Pelodiscus sinensis: one gene and its partners. The protein of the gene in region 1 purifies or fractionates together with the protein of each later gene. This does not show direct contact. Links are inferred from orthologs where the notes say so. Each region holds a gene or a part of one and is shown in the gene's direction. Other genes may lie near its edges.

What was found. The genes of interacting proteins can lie anywhere in the genome.
Region 2: the proteins of NELFA (region 1) and negative elongation factor E-like purify together in Homo sapiens (affinity purification with mass spectrometry; 9 studies listed by BioGRID and IntAct, counting the BioPlex papers as one, with this or other methods). This does not show direct contact. The link is inferred for Pelodiscus sinensis from reciprocal best matches to the Homo sapiens genes NELFA and NELFE.
Region 3: the proteins of NELFA (region 1) and NELFB purify together in Homo sapiens (affinity purification with mass spectrometry; 8 studies listed by BioGRID and IntAct, counting the BioPlex papers as one, with this or other methods). This does not show direct contact. The link is inferred for Pelodiscus sinensis from reciprocal best matches to the Homo sapiens genes NELFA and NELFB.

The regions. Positions count from the first base shown.
Region 1 is NC_134715.1:118,486,297-118,493,804, forward strand, and holds the start of NELFA (negative elongation factor A), read left to right. Parts: upstream 1-4,490; 5' UTR 4,491-4,634; coding exon 4,635-4,886; intron 4,887-7,508. UniProt on the Homo sapiens protein: Essential component of the NELF complex, a complex that negatively regulates the elongation of transcription by RNA polymerase II.
Region 2 is NW_027466016.1:20,612-27,543, forward strand, and holds the start of negative elongation factor E-like, read left to right. Parts: upstream 1-3,923; 5' UTR 3,924-4,082; intron 4,083-6,555; 5' UTR 6,556-6,598; coding exon 6,599-6,673; intron 6,674-6,932. UniProt on the Homo sapiens protein: Essential component of the NELF complex, a complex that negatively regulates the elongation of transcription by RNA polymerase II.
Region 3 is NC_134732.1:3,324,838-3,332,113, forward strand, and holds the start of NELFB (negative elongation factor B), read left to right. Parts: upstream 1-4,267; 5' UTR 4,268-4,328; coding exon 4,329-4,430; intron 4,431-5,082; coding exon 5,083-5,246; intron 5,247-5,441; coding exon 5,442-5,541; intron 5,542-6,506; coding exon 6,507-6,737; intron 6,738-7,276. UniProt on the Homo sapiens protein: Essential component of the NELF complex, a complex that negatively regulates the elongation of transcription by RNA polymerase II.

The DNA.
Region 1 (7,508 bases):
GAAAGTCCAGAGGAGAGCAACGAAAATGATTAGGTCATAATTTTTAGGTCTTTATCTGGAAAGATTGAAAAAATTGGGTTTGTTTAGTCTGCGGAAGAGACAACTAGAGAGGTACATAATAATGTGATAAACTGTTCTCCTTAACCATTGCATAAAGGATAAGTAGTAATGGTCTTACACTTCAGAGATTTAAATTAAACAAACAAACAAAAAAAAACCAACCCTTACTATGTGGATAGTTAAGCATTAGAACAAATTACCTGGAGACATTGTGGAATCTCTGTCATTTAAGGTTTTTAGAACATGTCACAAAAACATCTGTCAGGGATGGTCTAGATAATACTTACTTCTAATTTAGTGCAAAGGACTGAACTAGTTGATCTATTGTGGCCCCTTCCAAACCAATATTTCTCATACCTGAAGCCTGCTATTCCTCTGCTATAAGCAAACATCTGTAAAACCCACTGGCAAATTGTGTGTCTCAGACTCATCCAGTGGCCAGTCAGCCTACAGAATGATAACTTACAACCACTACTAGTTAGCGGAAATGTCAGAGGTCTTGTGCTATAGAGGTAAAGGTTCCAACTTTGCTGATGACTCATACTAGTGTCTAAAAGTTTCCACATAATGGATTTTTTTCCACTTTGTTGTTTTACAAACTTAAGAAATTTCAAAACATGTTGTGTGCAGTGTTGTTATAACTGTGTTTGTCCCAGGATATGAGCATTCTCTGGATGAGGGGATAGATTGCACCCTCAGTAAGTTCGCAGATGACACTAAGCTAGGGGGAGAGGTAGATATGCTGGAGGGCAGGAGTAGGGTCCAGAATGACCTGGACAGATTAGAGGATTGAGCCAAAAGAAATCTAATGAGGTTCATCAAGGACAAGTGTAGAGTCCTGCACTTGGGACAGAAGAATCCCAAGCATTGTTACAAGCTGGGGACCAAATGGCTAAGTAGCAGTTCTGCAGAAAAGGACTTGGGGATTACAGTGGATGAGAAGCTGGATATGAGTCAATGGTGTGCCCTTGTAGCCAAGAGGGCTAATAGCATATTAGGGTGCATTAGGAGGAGCATTACCAGCAGATCCAGAGAAGTGATTATTCCCCTTTATTCAGCTCTGGTGAGGCCACATCTGGAGTAGTGTGTCCAGTTCTGGGTCCCCCACTATAGAAAGGATGTGGATGCATTGGAGAGGGTCCAGCAGAGGGCAATCAAAATGATTAGGGGGCTGAAGCACATGACCTATGAGGAGAAACTGAGGGATTTGGGTTTGTTTAGTCTGCAGGAGAGAAGAGTGAGGGGGGATTTGATAACAGCCTTCAACTTATAAATAAAATAAATTTTTAAATTAATGGAGATTGCCTATCTCCTAGAACTGGAAGGGACCTTGAAGGTCATTGAGTCCAGCCCCTTGCCTTCACAGCAGGACCAAGTACCATCCCTGACAAACTTTTGCCCCAAATCCCTAAAATGGCCTCCACAAGGATTGAACTCACAACCCTGGGTTTAGCAGACCAATGCTCAAACCACTGAGCTATCCCTCCCCCCCTTTGGAATTTCCTGAAGGGAGGTTCCAAAGAGGATGGAGAAAGGCTGTTCTCAGCAGAGACAGGTGGCAGAACAAGGAGCAATGGTCTCAAGTTACAGTGGGAAGGGTCTAGGTTGGATATTAGGAAAAACTATTTCACTCGGAGGGTGGTGAAGCACTGTAATGGGTTACCTAGGGAGGTGGTGGAATCTCCACCCTGAGAGGATTTTAAGTCTCGGCTTGATAAAACCCTGGCTGGGTTGATTTAGTTGGGATTGGTCCCGCCTTGAGCAGGGGGCTTGACTTGATGACCTCCTGAGGTCTCTTCCAGCTCTATGATTCTATGAGCAACAGAAGGTAGGTAATCTCTTTTATTGAACCAACTTCTGTTGGTGAGAGAGACAAGTTTTTGACCTGTACAATGATCAGAAGAATTCTGTGAATGGCCATCAGAACTTTCTTGCGCAAGAGCGTCCATGCAGTGTCGACACTCTTCTGTGCAAAAGCACATTGCTTTTGCGATGAGCTTTTGGGGTGTGGACGTGCTTTTGCATAAGAAGTTTTTATGGAAGATCTCTTCTGCAAAAAGCTTTTTGCACAAAAACCCTGCAGTGTAGACTAAGTCTTAGAGAAAAAGTTAGAAGTGACATCTCCTGCCACCAAATAACCTCTTTGTGTTTGGCTCTGTTCTCAGGCAAAAGGTGATGATTTCCTGATTTCTTCCTGATTTCCATAGCTGAGTTTCAGGACAGGTCTTGTAATCTCCCTTCTTAAATGCCTGATCCTTCACTGTAAAAAATAAACAAGAAAGGGGATGAGGGTTAATTTTACTTGAATGAAAGGAGAAACTCTTATGCTGCCTTCTTGATAGCTAAAAACACTACCGTACTCTTAATTAGGAAGCTCTGCCAAAGGATAACCCACAGCAGCCATAAGATATGTGATTGGGTTTGTAGAAGTTCAGATCCTGGAGGGAGGTGGTATAATCTTGCTTTCTCTCTCCCTCTCCAGCCAAAACAGATCAACCATTTCCAAAAAAATGAGTTGTTTTGCCCATGTTAAATTCTGGGTACCTTTTCTCTGAAAGACTCTGGCACCTTCATGCTCTGTTGACATGAGTTTTAGTAGTTACATTCCTGGACAGTCATTGCTCATTAAAAGTACTGTCATATGGGTGGAAATCAGGTAAATATTGCATTTTACTAATATCAACAATGTAGATAAATCTATGTATTATTTCATATGACTTGGCATTGTGCCTCTCCATATAACCTTGTAATTTTGTATTAGAACCTGAATCCATATAACCTTTTAACTTTGTATTAGAACCCTATATAGAAAACTTGTAGAAAACTGAGTATATAGTTAAAGTGGTAAAAATGTCTTTTGCTAGGAGTAGAATAAGATCTTCCCCCCACTCTGTAATCAATTGCCCTGTTGAATGAATGAGGTGAGAATGAGTAAGACTTGAGAGCCAAGCACCTCCAGACAGCTACAGCAGTTGAAGAGGGGGTGGAAGCCCGGCTTCACCCCTCCCCCATCTAACTCACCTGGCCAGTGAAGTTAAGGGGAGCAACTACTTGGTAACAACAGCAAGACGGAGTGTGCTTGTGTGTGTGTGTGCATGAGTGATAGATAGATAGATATGTCATATGCATATGATAAGTATTGATTATTCTATGGCTGCGTCTAGACTGGAAAAACTTGCCAGCTGTCTACACTGGCCGCTTGAATTTCCACAAGAGCACTGACTTCCTACTGTTTGAAATCAGTGCTTCCTGTGGAAATACTATGCTGCTCCTGTTCGGGCAAAAGTCCTTTTGCGCAAAAGGGCCAGTGTAGACAGCTCAGATTTGTTTTGCGCAAAAGGCCCCGATCGCAAAAATGGTGATTGGGGCTTTTTTTTGCACAAAAGCGCGTCTAGATTGGCACGAACGCTTTTCCGCAAAAAGTGCTATCAGCTCAGTTCCCACAGCAAAGCCAGACTGTGAACTCTGCAACTATCTGGTAGTAAAGAATGAGCATGTTTAAAACAAAAACAAAAACAAAAAAAGCCTTAAGCATGCCAAGTTTACCAAGTTCATTCTGTCTCTATGCATCCCCAGAAAGGTTCCCCCATTTTGTTTATTGATATACTAAAATATGCATTTGAAGCTGTATTTATAAAGGTCCTTAATCTAAGCATGTGCTTATCATTACACAGGTGCAAGAAGCTGAGACCCCTTTGTTGCACAGGAAGTTAGGCTTGTGTGTGTACACTTGTATGAAAAGGGCCTGTTTCCCAGTTTCTCCTGTTTATGCACGGAGATTACTTCCTCCTCTTACCAGACACCCCCTACTAAAATCTTTGGGGAGATGATGAAAAAGGGCTTCAACTTCGCTTATGTCAAAGCAGAGCATTGCAAGTAGATTTCATCACCTGTCAATTGGGTAGCAGGCTGGGTGTGTTGTTTGGAAAGGAAGATGAGAGGGGGGGAAACAGAGGACCAAAGGAGAAGAGAGTTGCCCAGCTGCCAGCGGTGGGTACAGATAAGAGTCCCGTGCTGGAGTCGGATCAGTTGTTTTGAATACAAATTTCTATTTTTTCCGGCCAGCTCTACCAAGCCGCCACCGAGTCAGAAAGGGTCGGAGCCGTCCAGCGGGCACAGCCTAGCCAGGCTGCGGAGCAGGGGCGCGCGCAGACCAGCTGTGCAGCGGGGAGGCAGGTGTGGGGCTGGAAGCGGGAGGACGGAGCAGAGGGGCGGGGGCGAGGTGACAGTGTGGGGAGGGAGAAGGGCTGAGGGAACGGGCGCAGGCTGCAGCCCCGTCCCTTGGAGAAGCGCTGGGGGACGCCAGCAGAGGGCGGGGAAGCCAACCTGCGAGGCTTCCCGCGACATGGGGAACGCCATGTTGCAGTACGGAAGGGAGGCTCCATTTCGCACTACGGAAGGCGTTGCTCCCGAGCTCGCTGTTCCTCTCCCACAGGGCGCCGCCATTTTAGATTACGGAACTCCCTGCGCCCCATGGCGAAGCCTCTCCGCGAGGGAGCCGCCATTTTGGGTTACGAGCGAAACGGCGGCCCACAGGGGTCCTCGCCCTCCCTTCGTATAGGTGTCTTCATAAAATGCCTGCTAAAAATCCCCCCTTTTTTCGCCCCGCTCCCAAGATGGCGTCGATGCGGGAGAGCGACACTGGCCTGTGGCTGCACAACAAGCTGGGCTCCACGGACGAGCTGTGGGCGCCGCCGAGCATCGCCTCGCTGCTCACGGCCTCGGTGATCGACAACATCCGCCTCTGCTTCCACGGCCTCTCCTCGGCCGTCAAGCTCAAACTGCTGCTGGGGATGCTGCACCTGCCCCGCCGGGCGGTGGATGAGGTGAGAGCCGGGCAGGGGCTGCGCGGGCACCGGGCGAGGCGGGAGCGGCTCCAGCGCGCGAGTCCTGCCGCGGGCTGGGGGGGGGGGGGGGGCAGGGTAGGGCTGCGAGAGCGAGTGAGGTGCCCGGGGCCAGTTGCCCCAGCAAGCGGCGGCTGGGTGAGGGCGGCAAACGCCCCCGTGTGGTGGCGGCGGCGGTACCCGCCCCCTCCCCGTTAAATGGCGTCGGAGGAGCCGCCCGCCGGACACACCCCCGGGTGGGGGAGGGTATCGGTAACGGCCCGCCGGACACACCCCCGGTGGGGGAAGGTATCGGTAACGGCCCGCCGGACACACCCCCCCGGGTGGGGGAGGGTATCGGTAACGGCCCGCCGGACACACCCCCGGTGGGGGAAGGTATCGGTAACGGCCCGCCGGACACACCCCCCGGCTGGGGGAGGGTATCGGTAACGGCCCGCCGGACACACCCCCCGGCTGGGGGAGGGTATCGGTAACGGCCCGCCGGACACACCCCCGGGTGGGGGAGGGTATCGGTAACGGCCCGCCGGACACACCCCCGGGTGGGGGAGGGTATCGGTAACGGCCCGCCGGACACACCCCCCGGTGGGGGAGGGTATCGGTAACGGCCCGCCGGACACACACCCCCCCCCCCCGGTGGGGGAGGGTATCGGTAACGGCCCGCCGGACACCCCCCCCCCGGTGGGGGAGGGTATCGGTAACGGCCCGCCGGACACCCCCCCCCCCCGGTGGGGGAGGGTATCGGTAACGGCCCGCCGGACACCCCCCCCCCCGGTGGGGGAGGGTATCGGTAACGGCCCGCCGGACACCCCCCCCCCCCCGGTGGGGGAGGGTATCGGTAACGGCCCGCCGGACACCCCCCCCCCCCCGGTGGGGGAGGGTATCGGTAACGGCCCGCCGGACACCCCCCCCCCCCGGGTGGGGGAGGGTATCGGTAACGGCCCGCCGGACACCCCCCCCGGGTGGGGGAGGGTATCGGTAACGGCCCGCCGGACACACCCCCCGGGTGGGGGAGGGTATCGGTAACGGCCCGCCGGACACACCCCCGGGTGGGGGAGGGTATCGGTAACGGCCCGCCGGACACACCCCCGGGTGGGGGAGGGTATCGGTAACGGCCCGCCGGACACACCCCCCGGGTGGGGGAGGGTATCGGTAACGGCCCGCCGGACACACCCCCCGGGTGGGGGAGGGTATCGGTAACGGCCCGCCGGACACCCCCCCCCCCCCGGTGGGGGAGGGTATCGGTAACGGCCCGCCGGACACCCCCCCCCCGGTGGGGGAGGGTATCGGTAACGGCCCGCCGGACACCCCCCCCCCGGTGGGGGAAGGTATCGGTAACGGCCCGCCGGACACCCCCCCCCCGGTGGGGGAGGGTATCGGTAACGGCCCGCCGGACACCCCCCCCCGGGTGGGGGAGGGTATCGGTAACGGCCCGCCGGACACCCCCCCCCCCGGGTGGGGGAGGGTATCGGTAACGGCCCGCCGGACACCCCCCCCCCGGTGGGGGAGGGTATCGGTAACGGCCCGCCGGACACCCCCCCCCCGGTGGGGGAGGGTATCGGTAACGGCCCGCCGGACACCCCCCCCGGTGGGGGAGGGTATCGGTAACGGCCTGCCGGACACACCCCCGGGTGGGGGAGGGTATCGGTAACGGCCCGCCGGACACACCCTCCGGGTGGGGGAGGGTATCGGTAACGGCCCGCCGGACACACCCGCGCGGAGCGGGGGGGGGGGCGTGTCAGTATTGCCCCCCCCCCCGGGTGCTCCTTGGGGGCGCTGCACTCAGTCCTGCCCGCCTGGTGGCAGAGGGGTGCTCAGCACTGCACCCGCAGCCGCTTTTGCCCCCTGGGGGTTACGTTCGGTACCTACTCGCCCCCCAGCCAGTTACCTATACTGTGCCTGGTGCCCCTTCTCCACCTCCCCTGGCAGGGGGCCCTCAGGCACCCTGGCGCGCAGCTGGGGCAAAAGCCAACAGGGCACTATTGAAAGAGCTGGCAGGGTCCCGGGCTGTGGTAAGACAGTACCTGTAAGAAACGTTGTTACTTTTACCGCTGCCCGTAGGATACATAGCTGCCGACCCCTGAGCGGCCAGCCCATGGTGGGATAGCCTGCCCCCCATGTGTCTTAGAGGAGAGAGTGCTAGCTGTGCGTTCATAGGGCCTGGGCACTTCTGGCCTGATGGGTGACCTTGGCGGAGTGTGCCTCTCACCTCGCTTTGCCCATCTGTAAAATGAGTATATTGGTACTGTCCTCCTTTGTATAGTGTTTTGATTAAAGTGTTACCTAAGGACTAGGCATTGTTATTCCTGTGACTCAAGTGTGGCGCTCCTGTGAGTGCTGTGCTCTTTTTCAAAAGGTTCCACCGTTGCCTTCTTGTCTGAAACAGAGAGGGGAGAGAGGAACAGGACAGATTATTTTTCGTATTTAGGCTGATGAGTTTCACCATGTACAACAGCTAGTGCTTTTGACTGCCTTTTTGGGGATTATGTCTCTGGGCCAGCAGTACTTGTGCTTGGAACTAGGCCAGAGAAACAAATTATAGAGGGCAGTGGTTTTCAATCTGTAGTCCGCAGATTGTCTGAATTTTCCAAAGGTGTCTGCGCCTCC
Region 2 (6,932 bases), on another chromosome or scaffold:
GGGGGGCAGGAAGGGTTAACAACAGGGACCAGTGGGGGGAGGGGCTAGATCCAGCAGGGGGAGGGGCCCTCACCTGGTCATGTGCTTCTGGGCCAGGGCGATGGCGTATTCGGCCACCACCGTCTTGCCGGCCGAGGTGGTGCGCGGCCACGAAGAGCGAGTCGCGCCGCTCCAGGTGCAGGATGGCCTGTTTCTGGAACACGTCCGGCTCGAACGGCCACTGGGCCGGGGAAACCGAGTCAGGCGGGACGCCCCTCTCCCCGTGGCGCGTCCCCAGGCTCCCCAGCCGACCCCCACGGCACAAGGGAACTGAGGCTAGCATCCGGCCCTGGGCCCCACAACCCCGTGACACGTCTCCCTGGCTCCCCCACCCCAGGGCAGCCCCCGCCCCCCTCAGGGCCCCAGCCCAGCGCGGCCCAGGCAGGGTCTCACCCGGAAGGCCGGGTCGGGGATGCGTTTGTAGAAGTCGTCCACGGGCGAGGAGGTGTCGACGGGAATCGCCCACTGCTCCTTGGGCGGCTCGGGGGGCGCGGCCTGGGCGGGCGGGGGAGGTCCGGGGGTCACCTCCTGTGGGGGCAGAAGGGCTGGTTACGGGGCTCCGCCCCCCAGGGCGTTCCTGCCTCGGCCTGCCCCCAAAACCCCCCTCCCCCAGCCCAACCCCCCCTTTTCTGCACCCTGCCCACAGCCTCCCCTCCCCCCCACCAGAACAAGCCCCGTCCCCCAACATCCACCCCCCCAGCTGTCCCGCCTCCACCTTCAGCACCAGCTCCTCCAGGCTGTCTGCCCGCTGGGGGGCGGGGGCAGGGGCGGGGGGCGTCGCTCCCTCCTTCCCCTTGGTCTTCCTCTTCGTCTCCTCCTCCTCGTCGCTGGAGCCGCCCAGCTGGAAGGAGTCCAGGGTCCCCAGCAGCCCGGCCAGGGGCAGCAGGCCCGGTGCGCTCTGGCGCGGCGCAGCTAGGGGGCAAAAGGGGGGGGTTAGGGGGCGCCGGGAGGAGGGAGTCCCTCCAAGCGAGCCCAGCCAGCGGGGTGCCCCCCTCCAGGACACCAGTGTCTGCCCGGCCCCCCATGGAGAGACCAGCCCCCCAGATCAGTACCTTGCGGCTTGAAGTCCACCCCCTTCTTCCAGCCGGGGGCACCGTCAGCAAGTCTGGGCAGCGGGGAAGGAAAACAGGCAGAGTTACACCAGCCAAAGTTGGGAGGGGGCGGGGGGGAGAGAGGGGGCAGGGGCCTGTCTCCACCAGGGGGCGCCAGGTCTGGCCCCTCTAGGGGTGCTGCCTCCCACCCGGCCCCAGGGCAGGACCTGGCAGGGTGGGGGGGGGGTCTGGCCCCTCTAGGGGTGCCGCCTCCCACCGGGCCCCAGGGCAGGACCTGGCAGGGCGGGGGGGGGGGGGTCTGGCCCCTCTAGGGGTGCCGCCTCCACCCGGCCCCAGGGCAGGGCACTGAAGGGCACCCAGAGCCCGCCAGGCCCGAGGGGATGGGGGCGGGGGAGAGGCAGGACACCCGGCCCCCTCACACCTTTCTCAAAGTCCACATCCTCCTCCAGCTGGTCCTGGGCGCAGATCTGCTCCAAGCTGGGCTCGTCCATCCCGCTGGGGAGCAGAGAGAGGCTGAGTCCCAGCAGCACCGATGGGGGGGGGGGGGGCGGGGGAGAAGGAGGGGGACGTACCTGGCCAGAAGGGGTAGTTGGTGCTGCTGCCCCGCAAGGCCTGGGCGGGGGGCCCCGGGGCCCGCTGGAGGGAGAGCGAGTTCTTGGCCGACAGCCCCATGTTGTCCAGCAGCGCCTGGGGCGGAGAGCGAGGAGCGGGGCCTTCACTCACCGTGGCCCCCGGACAGCGCCAGGGCAGCGTCGCAAAGCCCCGGAAACGCCCCTTACGCCGCCCCCCGCTCAGGCCTCCGCCCCGCCGGCCGGGGACTCGCAGGGCAGCGCTGCTCAACCCCCCGCGCGCCCGACCTGCTCACCCCGCCACCCCCAGGGCACGAGGCCGCTTGGAACTCTGCGCTTCAGGGGGGCTGGTCTCCTGCCCCCGCACTCAGCCTCCTCTCCCAGGGCGTGACGAGGGGGGTCGTACGTGGGCTCTCGGGAGCCTGAAAGGATCAACGCCCCGAGGGAGGAACCACACAACCCGAAGCACCGAAAAAGAGAATCCGCCTTCCGCTGAGCAGACGGAAAGGAACCCGCGTCCACCCGCGCTGCTTTGGATGGGAATCGGGCAGAACCCCTTAACGCCAAGGAGACGTGTGCGCTGGCAGGGCGGGCGCAGCACGAAGGGGCGTGTGAAACTTTAGCGCATCCGGCACGTAAATACTCGGGGACGCCGGCCACAGCGGCACAGGCCGGCTCTCACACTCAGGTGGCCGTGGGAATAAGAAACAGGCAGCATCCTCACACCCACTGCGGCCAACCCGTGAGTCTGAGCAATTGGCCGAACAGGAAATAGGACTGAGTGGACTTTCTTGTAGGGTTTTTTTTTTAAATGCAGTTAGCTTGCGTACATGGGTCTATATTTGGGAGCACAACTGAAGCTGTTGCACAAGACTTGTAGTGGGAGAATTGAGCGAGACCCCCTCTTTTGTTGGTATCGCTCGTGCTTACGAAATTAGGAGAGCATTGTACATTTTGTATTCTTTGTTATAAACACGGCTGTTGGGTAACAGAAGGATTAAAGGTGCGTTTAGTTTTTTAAATCAGTCCCCCAGGCCAGCATCTCTCATGTGCCGAAAGGCCCCCCCCAGCCTAGGGAGGGAGGCATGGGACCCAGGCGTCCAGGCCAGCACGTTTTGGGCGCAGTGTGGCTGCCAGGACAGGACCCCCGTGCCTGGATGGGCTCACCTCTCGGAAGGCCAGGATCTGCCCCGTGGTGGGGTCCCGCTCCGCCTGCAGAGTGGCGTGCACAGGGGTGGCGTCTGTCTCCAGCAGCGACCACACGTCCTTCTCCCGCGGCCAGCACCTGGAGGGGGGCACAGAGGCGGAGTCAGCGCCCGCTGCACCCCGATGTCCCGCCCCTCTCCGCGGCCGAAGGGCTGGTGCCCGCAGGGGTTTTCGGGGAGGCGGGTGGGCACCAGGACTCACCTGTGGGCCCTGTCGAAGCGGTGGAGGGGCAGCCATTCGGGGCTGGCCAGGAAGCGCCGCTCCAGCTCAGAGGCCAGGTCCATGGTGAAGGGGGGCAGCCCGTGGGGCAGCTGGAGAGGGAGAGGGGAGGTGTGAAAGGCCCGTGGGGCAGTGGCGGGGTAGGGGAGGGAAGGAGATGGCGGCCGGGGGGGGGTCTCACCGTGCAGAGGGGGATGGTGCCGCCATCGGGCCCCTCCGGCCGGGTGACGAGCTCGAAGCGCCCGGCGCAGCCGACTTCCAGCAGGGACAGGGGCAGCTCCAGGGGCCCCCGGGGGGGCAGCGCTGGGGGGGGGCACAAGGGGGGGTCGGACTCTGCAACAGGCAGAGACCCCTCCCCCTGCAGATCCCGCTGGAGCCTGCCACGGCCCCCTCCTGCCCCTCCCCCCACTACCCCTGCCCCCTCCTGCACCTGCGCCCCTCCCCCCACTACCCCCTCCTGCCCCTGCCCCCCTCCTGCCCCTCCCCCCACTACCCCCTCCTGCCCCTGCCCCCCTCCTGCCCCTCCCCCTGCCCCCTCCTACCCCTGCCCCCCTCCTGCCCCTGCGCCCCTCCCCCCCACTACCCCCTCCTGCCCCTCCCCCCCACTGCCCCCCTCCTGCCCCTCCCCCCACTACCCCTGCCCCTCCCCCCACTACCCGCTCCTGCCCCCCTCCTGCCCCTCCCCCTCACTTGCCCCCAGCGCCCCCCCTCACTCATTCGCTCCATGTCGGCAGCCGCGGGCCGCCCCCTGACCCGGAAGGGCTCCGCGCGGGGCCGGCGCAGCATGGCCCTGCGGGGCGGAAGCCGGGGAGAGAACCAGGGCGAGCGCTGCGGGGCGGAAGTGACGCCAGCCGGCGCCGCGCCCCAGGGATAAGAGGAGCCGGGCGCGAGGCAGGCAAATGAGGGCGCCGCTCCGCCAATGAGCGTGCTCCGAGCCTGCGCGCGAGCGGGGAGAGCCGCGCCACGCTAGAGCCGCCGCGGACGGGGAGCGGAGAGGGTCAGTCCGCGGGGGGGGCAACCTGCGCGCGCGCCCCCCCCCCCAACAGCCCCTCTCCCTGGCCGCCTGCCGCGGTGCATCATGGGAGCGGGGCTGCGGAGGTGGGGGGGGAGTTGGTGGGGCCTGGGGCGGGAGCAGGGGGCGGGGCTTGGGGCAGGGAGGGGGCGGAGCTTGGGGGCAGTGTAAGACTAGGGGGCGGGGCTGGGGGCAGGGCCTGTGGCGGAGGCAGGGGAGGAGCTTGGGTCAGGGAGGGGGCGGGGCCTGCAGCAGGGGGCGGGGCCTGCAGCAGGGGGCGGGAGCAGGGGCGGAGCTTGGGGCAGTGCACGTGTATGGGGCTGGGGGCGGGGCCTGCAGCAGGGGGCGGGAGCAAGGGCGGAGCTTGGGGCAGTGCACGTGTATGGGGCTGGGGGCGGGGCCTGCAGCAGGGGTGGGAGCAGGGGGCGGAGCCTGGATCTAGGGCAGGGGGCGTGGCTTAGGGTGGGGGCGGGGCGGGAGCAGGTTGCAGCTACCCCAGGACATTGTGGGTAACGCCCGGGGTCGGGAGGTAATCGTGGAATTGAGTAACCGATTAATCGATATGCAAAAACGTGTCGGTGAATGCTACAGCCGACTCGCCGCCCCCCCAGTAAATGTGCGCGCAGACTGGCCAGCAGCCCAGCTGGGTCCTGGCTTGCGCCGGATCCGGGGCCTGGCCCTGCTGCGGCTCTGCCGTTCAAGTGCATTAGGAGCCGGGCGGGCAGGGAGCCTGGCTCAGGTCTGGCTTGCGCCGGATCCGGGGCCTGGCCCTGCTGCGGCTCTGCCGTTCAAGTGCATTAGGAGCCGGGCGGGCAGGGAGCCTGGCTCAGGTCTGGCTGACGCCGGCTCCGGGAGCTCAGACCCCCCCGACCCCAGACGGGCTGCTGCCCCCCTGCGCTGCTGCCTCTGTATCAGGCAGGCGGCTGGTCCGCAGGGGGGCTGGCTTTGAAACAGGCTCCCCTCGCAGACCGGCTCCCGGCGCTGCTGCCTCGGACACCGCGGCAGCGGCACGGCGGGGCGGGGGCTCCTCGGGAGTGGGGCCGTGTCGTGTGCTTTGCTTTTAGATCCCAGGGAAAGCGGAACCCCCCAGAGAGACGTTCCCGCAGTTGTTTGAGTGTGACAAGCCTTAGCAACAATCGCTGGACAATTGAAAACACTGGAGCTATGGCTACACTCGCGGCTTCTTGCGGGAGTAATATGCAAATGAGGCGAAGCGTGGAATATCGCCGAGCCTCATTTGCATACCTAATGAGCCCCCACTTTTTTCAGAAGAGGCTCTTGCGCCAGGAGGAGCATCTACACTGCCCCTTCTTGGGCAAGAAAACCCTCTTGCCGCGAATGTAGACATAGCCCAGGGCTTAAAATTGAAAGCAATTCGCACAGCGCGAAGTGCACACGCCAGTCCTAGCCGATTCTAATACCCTCATTGCGCCTAGGTCACTTACATGTCACCGGTGCGCTCCCGACAGTGCCAGGCCGGGGGTCGTGGTGGCTTGGATGCCTGCACGTCGGCACTGAAGGGGTGTGAAGGGTCCGTTCCTTGTTCCAGTGTGTCAGGGACCCCCCGTCCCCGATCCTGCACCCCCGTAGCAGCCAGAACAGACTCCCCAGCCGGTAGAACAGGGGGGTTATTGCTTCTCCGGGATACAGCCCAGCACAGACGCGATGTGGCTACAGGAGTCAGGGCCAGGATACCTCCGACCCCTAGGGTTAGGGGTCCATCGCCCCCTCAGCTTAGTCTGTTCCCCTCATGTTTCCCAGCCAGAAGCCGCCTTGCTCCCAGAACCTGCCCTCCCGTCTCCCCCTCCCTCTGGGACGGGCTGGGACCCGTGTCTGGGTGAGTCTGGGAATCGCACCTCACAGCGCAGGGGGACCCCGGGTCACAGAGCAGACAGGCCCCCCCCCCGCGATTGTTCTTCCTAAACCCAACTGACAGCCAAGCGAGACTTGGTCGGCCTACGCCTGTCTACCCATCAGCTACCGTTTCCGGAAGATCCCTCGTATGCCGATATCCAGGGTCCATTTGCAATGGCCCGGTATGCGCCAGCGCGTCTGGACTGTCTCTTATCACAGTGGGACGTCCTAGGACCAGGCTGTTCCTGCTCTCTGGCCTGGTCTCGCCGGCCTGTCCACGTTCCGCAGCGTTGGGCAGCCCTGCTGACTCCCCCCCCGGCCTGCGTACCGACGTGTGCGCCCAGGCTCCAACCAGACCCAGGGGGGGTGTTAGAGCCGTGCTTGGCCAAGGCCGGGCGCTGCAGGCGTTGCTGGTCTGGACCCGGGAGGGCCGCCCTGGCTCCCCGGCAGCGCTGCCTCCACCCCCAGGGACTCCAGACCAGTCGAGTAACGGCTCAGAATCCGCGATCACTCGGCTAGTCAGTGAACCAACATCGACCATCCGTAGTGCAGGGGGAGGCTCCACCCCCCCCCCGCTCACCCCTGTGTCTGCTTCCTCCCGCAGCCCCCGGGTGCCAGTGCAGCCTCCCCCCCACGAGCGCCCCACCATGCTCGTCCTGCCCCCCGGCCTCACCGAACAGGAGGAGGCCTTGCAGAAGAAGTTTGCCAAGCTGAAGAAGAAGGTCGGAGCCTGTCGCCCCACCTGGGGGGGGGGGTGCTGGGTGAGATGGGCCCTGTGGGGCAGGGGGAGGGGCGTGTGGGGCAGGGGGAGGGGTGTGTGGGGCAGGGGGAGGGGTATGCGGGGCAAGATTGCGGGGCAAGATGGGCCCTGTGGGGCGGGGGGGGATACTCGGGGCGAGATGGGCCCTGTGGGGCGGGGGGAGGGGTGTGTGGGACAGGGGGAGGGGTGTGCGGGGCGAGATGGGCCCTGTGGGGCGGGGG
Region 3 (7,276 bases), on another chromosome or scaffold:
TAACCTGAGCCTCTATTAGGGTGTCTGAAAAGTTTGAAAACTTACGGGGATTTCACTTTTGACACTGTACCTTTCAATTTCTGTTTAACTAACCTCTTCATTGTGTGTAGTTCCCCTTTATGAAATTAAATGCCATGGTGTTGAGCTACTGTGGTATTTTTCTAACCACAGGCGTGTTAAATTTAATTAATTCACTATTTCCAAGCAGTCCAGCTATAGTCATCTCCTCAGAGCCGCCCTGTCCATAGGACCAATCAGGACAGCTGTGCCAGCCTCTGCGTTTTTGCGGGGAGGAGAACGTCCAAATGGAGCAGAAGAAAATTATCCACAGTTGGGACCTTCCTTCCAGGTGATGCAATAACCTATCACACTGAGACCTCTTCAGGGGAGGGAAGTCCAGTTATTAGGAAGACACAGGTGTTAGCATTGATGGGCTTCTGCCTGCATCCTCTTTTTACATGTAGAGTTTATCCTTTTTTTATATTTATTTTTTTAAAACAGGTGGTTTTGGTTTTAGGTTAAAAAAGTTTAAAGAATGTTAAATGTTAAGTGTAGCTAGCCCTCCTCAAACTCGGCCTGTGATGAATTCCGAAGCTGGGAACAGCACAGCCTGTGCAGCAGGGAGTTTGTTTATAAACACAGGTAGGGTAATTAAGGTAACAAACGGCTTGTCATTCAAGTGGAGTAAGGATCATTGGGTGATTAAGTCACACTCAGGATGCGTTACAGTTAACATTGACAGAGCCATGCCCCGGACCATGAGTATTCATGGTGTTAGAGCACCTCTGGGGCCCATATAACTCACTGCCTGGGAGACTGGAGAATTCTAGGGGCCAGGAGGCCAGTGCCTGCAACCTCCCCGCAGTTCAGCAAATGTGGAAATATGTGACAGGGATGCCAAAGCAACAAAGTCACGCAAAGTGGGAGACAGCCCTGCGGCTCAAGCAGCACATGGAGAGGGGACAAGTATCAGAGGGGGAGCCGTGTTAGTCTGAATCTGCAAAAGCGGCGAGGAGTCCTGTGGCACCTTATAGACTAACTGAAGTGTTGGAGCATAAGCTTTCGTGGACAAAGACCCACTTCGTCAGATGCATGTAGTGGAAATTTCCAGAGGCAGGTATAAATATGCAGGCCAGAATCAGGCTGGAGATGACGAGGTGGATCCAATCAGGGAGGATGAGGCCCACTTCTAGTTGCTGATCTGGAGGTGTGAATTCCAAGAAAGGAGAAGCTGCTTTTGTAGTTAGCGAGCCATTCACAGTCTTTGTTTAATCCTGAGTTGATTGTGTCAAACTTGAAGATGAACTGTAGCTCAGCAGTTTCTCTTTGAAGTCTGGTCCTGAAGTTTTTTTGCTGCAGGATGGCTACCTTTAGATCTGCAATTGTGTGTCCAGGGAGATTGAAGTGTTCCCCTACAGGTTTTTGTACAGTTCTTTCTGGCTCCTTGATCCCTGCACTCTTGCCTCTGAGATGAAGAGCTGAGCTGAGCACCCCGATGGAGTCGGCCACCTGGCATATTTATATCCCCTCCTGGCTTCTTCTAAGCTGGAGAGTCACATGGCCAGTGGCCAGCTGTGTCTTTGGCCTCCAGCGGTCCATTGTTCCCTGGAGCTTTGCTCATTAGCATGTCCATGGGCAAACATTCCCGGCCCATTGCTCTGCCTCAGACAGAGAATCTTTCAGCATCAACATAGAGTACATACTTATAACACACACAGACATTATACAGGTATACGAAGAGCATGTACGGAATCCGTAGACAATAAGCTTTTGTTTGACACTTCACATGGCCCCCTTTCTATCAACTTTTGGGACAAACCCCCCCCCCCATGGGCGCAGCAGTGACCTGGCTGTTTCCCTTAAACTCCGGTAACGTGATAAACATTAATGGCTACTAGCCAGGATGGGTAGGAACGGTGTCCCCAGTCTCTGTTTATCAGAGGGTGGAGATGGATGGCAGGAGAGAGATCGCTTGATCATTACCTGTTCGATTCACTCCCTGTGGGGCACCTGGCATTGGCCACTGTTGGCAGACAGGATACTGGGCTGATTGAACCTTTGGTCTGACCCAGTCTGGCCATTCTTATGCTCTTATACTTGGGAGGATATAAGGAAGGAGGCAGCATCCCCAGAAGTTCTATAGGGAACAAGAAAATGGCATTCTCGTAGGTCTCTAGGTAGGTATCTGGTTTTCACCCAGATTGTTCATTATTCGGGTCCCCCGTCCAGTAAAAAAAAAACCAGAAAATACCAGACATGTGAAATGTCCAGTATTTCCTATTTCCCTTGGACGGAAGCCCAGTGGGGACAATTTTCCCCTGCCACATCTGGCAGGGGTAGGGAAGTGAGGAGTGCGGCAGAGGCGTAGTGAAGGGGGGCAGAAGGGGACACTTGCCCCCAGGCGCCATGCTAGGAGGGCACTGGGCTGGGGTGGGAGCAAGCATATGCTGCTCTAGCTCATGTGACGCTTTGAGCAGAGACCCGGGAGCTGGCCACGTGATGCCTCCCTCTACACACGGGGAACCCAGGCAGCGAGGCTGGGCGGCAGGAGCGGTGACTTTAAGAGTAAGATTTCCTTACCCGGCCATCCTGTTCCTCGGGTGCCTGGCTCTGCGGCAGGAGAGGAGGTGGGGGTGTGTGATTTGATTGGGGCGGAGCGCTCCTGGTGCTGGGGATGCCTGGCTCAGGGGGAGGGGTGAGTGCACTAGGATGGGGGACACTGGGGCTATGTCTACACTCGCGGCTTCTTGTGCGAGCAATATGCAAATGAGGCTAAGCGTGGAATATTGCTGAGCCTCATTTGCATACCTAGTGAGCCACCATTTTTTTCAGAAGAAGATCTTGCGCAAGAAGGAGCATCTACACTGCCCCTTCTTGCGCAAAAAAACCCCTCTTGCGCAATGCCATTCTTCCTGAAAAGTAATAGGTGTAACGAAATTAGGCTCATTAGGTATGCTTAGCCTCATTTGCATATTACTCGCACAAGAAGCCACAAGTGTAGACATAGCCTGTGAGGGGCCTGGCTCTGGGGGAAGGGTGAGTGCATTGGGATGGGGGGGCACTAGGGCGCCTGGTTCTGGGGGAGGGATGAGTGCATTGGGATGGGGGGGCACTAGGGCGCCTGGTTCTGGGGGAAGGGTGAGTGCATTGGGATGGGGGGGCACTAGGGCGCCTGGCTCTGGGGAAGGGTGAGTGCATTGGGATGGGGGGGCACTAGGGCGCCTGGTTCTGGGGGAGGGGTGAGTGCACTGGGATGGGGGGACACTGGGGCGCCTGGCTCTGGGGGAGGGGTGAGTGCACTGGGATGGGGGGACACTGGGGCGCCTGGCTCTGGGGGAGGGGTGAGTGCATTGGGATGGGGGGGCACTGGGGCACCTGGCTCTGGGGGAGGGGTGAGTGCATTGGGATGGGGGGGCACTGGGGCACCTGGCTCTGGGGGAGGGATGAGTGCATTGGGATGGGGGGGGCACTGGGGCACCTGGCTCTGGGGGAGGGGTGAGTGCACTGGGATGGGGGGGCACTGGGGCACCTGGCTCTGGGGGAGGGGTGAGTGCACTGGGATGGGGGGGCACTGGGGCACCTGGCTCTGGGGGAGGGGTGAGTGCACTGGGATGGGGGGACACTGGGGCGCCTGGCTCTGGGGGAGGGGTGAGTGCATTGGGATGGGGGGGGCACTGGGGCACCTGGCTCTGGGGGAGGGGTGAGTGCATTGGGATGGGGGGCACTGGGGCACCTGGCTCTGGGGGAGGGATGAGTGCATTGGGATGGGGGGGGGCACTGGGGCACCTGGCTCTGGGGGAGGGGTGAGTGCACTGGGATGGGGGGGCACTGGGGCACCTGGCTCTGGGGGAGGGGTGAGTGCACTGGGATGGGGGGGCACTGGGGCACCTGGCTCTGGGGGAGGGGTGAGTGCACTGGGATGGGGGGCACTGAGACCAGAGCCACTTAAAGGCGCAGCGCCCTTTTTTTTCTCCACTACTTTGGTCTCCCCTTTCCCCCCCCCCCCCCAACAGAATTTTTTCCCGGTGTTTTTTTTTTGGGGGGGGGGTGTTGGGTATTTTTTGTAACCCCGTCTGCCAAGCCTATCTCTGTGGGGGGGGAGGCAGCACACGGGGTGGGGGACGCAGCGGGGAGGCGGCATTCCCGCGGGGTGTCTCTAGGGGGCCGGCCGCAGGCGGGGGCGGTGGGGGGGAGGCCGCCACGCCGGCCGCGGGCCGCAGGGGTCGCTGTGGCGCTCGCAGCCCGGCTCCGCCCGCCGAGCCGGAACCTGCGTGCCGGGGCCGCGGGGTCCGGGGGGCCGGGGCCGGCGACGGACCCGCCCCGCCGCCATGTTCGCGGGGCTGCAGGAGCTGGGGGTGGCCAACGGCGAGGACCTGAAGGAGACGCTGACCAACTGCACCGAACCGCTCAAGGCCATCGAGCAGTTCCAGGTGCGGCCCGGGGGCCCGAGGCCGGCGCCTCGAGGACCGCGCAGGGCGCATGCGCGGGGACTGGGGGGGCTCATGGGAGTGCCCCCCCCACTGGCCGCCCCCCCTCGCAGGGAGACCCCGCTGGGATCGGCGCGTCTGGGGCCCGAGGCTCCGCGTGAGGAGCCGCCCCCCCCCCCCCCGCGCGGCGGGACCCTCCTACAAAGGGCTTCACCCCCCCCCCCCGGAAGCGGCCTAACCCAGGCTGGTCCTGCGCCGCGCAAGCGACTCCCTCCTTGGGGCGGGGCGTGTCCCCCCTCCCCCCATGGCTCTGGCGAAGGGGGGTCCTGGGGGGGGGTTACCGAGCTGATGCCCTGGTACATCTCCTAATAAACCATCTTGTTAGTCTTTAAAGCGCTGCCTGGTCCTGCCTTTTGTTCCAGCTGCACCAGACTAAGGGCTGCATCTCTACCACCATTAAAAAGGAAGGGAGCCCCCCCCCCAAACCGGTCAGGATTTAGCTGTTTTGCAAACAGGTTTTGTTTTTAGCAGCGTACCCCAGGCTGAAATGTGAGAAGGAAGCCTTGTTTCTCTTGGCGGGCACTCTGTTTTATTGCCAACCAGGAATTTGTGTTTAATCCAAAACTTAGGACTCTTATGGTGTTTGTTTTGCTAGACAGAAAATGGAGTCCTCCTGCCCTCTCTCCAGTCTGCTCTGCCATTCTTGGACCTCCACGGCACTCCTAGGTTGGAATTTCATCAGTCTGTATTTGATGAGCTGAGGGAGAAACTGCTAGAGAGAGTTTCAGCCATTGCCTCAGAAGGAAAAGTTGAGGAAAGGTGTGTTACTGATCTTGTTGCTGCATATTACTCATCATTAGAAATTAATTGCAAAATCATGGAAGGTAAAGTTTTTTAAAAAAACTTAAGTGCTTAAGTCCCATTTTCAAAAGCAATTCAAGCACTTAAGACCTTAAGTGACTCAGGGGTTTTGAAAACTTTACCTTGCAACTTTTCTTGCTTGCATGTTTCCAGATACAAAAAGCTAGAGGATCTGCTGGAAAAATGTTTTTCCTTGGTCAAGATGCCATCTATACAGCCTGTGGTGATGTGTGTCATGAAACACCTTCCCAAGGTAAAATCTCCTTATATCTCCTGGTTACAACAGTCCCTTTTACTTTCTGCTGTTAGCTGGGCTGTGTGGCACATTTGCAAACTCTTCAGTTAATCATTCACTGGTAGAGATTTTGGCTTACACTTTGATTCTCATATCAGTTAATTTTAATGTAGTTTAAAAAGCATTTCATACTTTATAAATGAATTAGCGAGAGAAGCGTGTTTTTCTGTTTTTAAAATGTGCCTGTCCTCCCTCATCCTTCTGAAAAATAGATTGAACTCAGTGGTAGGGGGCTTTTTCATCACTGATTTAAACGGCAAGTGGGACATTGTAAGGATGACCTAGTAAATTATATAGCTTAAATTTTAAAGCTAGATTTTTTTTTTGTAAAGGGCAATATTTCTGGGAAAGGGCACGTAAAAGGAAACAACCCTTCATGTAAGGCACTAAGTATCCTTAATATAATCGCTTCAAAACTAGGGATGTTAAAAATCATGTAATATGGTAACCAGGCAGGAGGTTTTGCTGCCTTGCCACATTGAAGAGGACTCCCTGGGAGTTGGCTGAGATTAACTGATAAACATCAGTTTAAAAGTTTATGGGTTAATTGATTAAACTCTCATCCCTATTCAAAACCTCTGCTAGTGCTTTGTACTTTGTAGAGCTTTGAACCGTCACTGTAGAATGCTTTTCTTCCTTTTTTAATAGGGGAAGATATTTGTTGTAAAACTAACTGAAGGAAAATGTAATGCTTTATCTCGAAAGCTAAATACTTTAAAATCAGGATCCTTTTGGAGGGGCAGGATCATAAAAGAAGGGTCTCTGCTGTTTCCTTATGTTTTAATTGCACTGGCTATAGAAGTTACTGGCCAGTTCAAGGCTGTGATGTCGATCTTTCCAGTAGTTAACTACCTACCATTTTAACAATCTGACCGGTGAACCCCTAGCTAAACTTTTTCCTGACTCTGCACTGTTGTTCATAGGTCCCTGAAAAGAAACTGAAGTTAGTGATGGCAGATAAGGATTTATACAAAGCATGTGCCGTGGAGGTGAAGCGCCAGATCTGGCAGGATAACCAAGCTCTGTTCGGTGATGAGGTGTCCCCATTGCTAAAACAGTACATCCTGGAAAAAGAAAACACTCTCTTCAGTAGTGATCTCTCTGTCTTGCACAACTTCTTCAGTCCCTCTCCAAAAACGAGACGTCAGGGAGAGGTAAGAACAGGAAGAACTTACAGTGAAATTTGGAACAGGATTCTCCAATCTCTGTCTTTGAAAAGGGAGCATATTGGGTTCCTATCCTGCCAGTATTATCAGAGAATTGAGCATCCATCTGGCCTTGAAACTTTGCTACCACCTGGAAAAAGCTATGTAAATATTTTGGCTAGTTACTTAGTGTCAGTTTATCTTCTTTAAACAAGTCTTAATGAAATAAACTAGGGATGTCAAAGCCAATTTTTAATTAGTTAACTGGTTAAAAGTAATGTTTAACCAGTTAACCGATTAATGGGGAGGGCAGTTGCGGGGGTGAGCAGCTGCCCACCTATCACTGCCCGTGCTGGAATGGCCCCCCCCTTGCTGCAGACTGGGACTGCCCCTGCTGCGCTGGACCTCCCTGCCTGTAGTGAGCCTTGGTCAAGCCTTCTGCCAACAGGGGCTGCTCTGGCTGGGCTAGAGTACCACCTACCCACAGCAGGCCCTGCGGAGCTGGAGCAGCCCCCCACCCATGGCAGGTGGGAAGCTGCTCCGGCCCC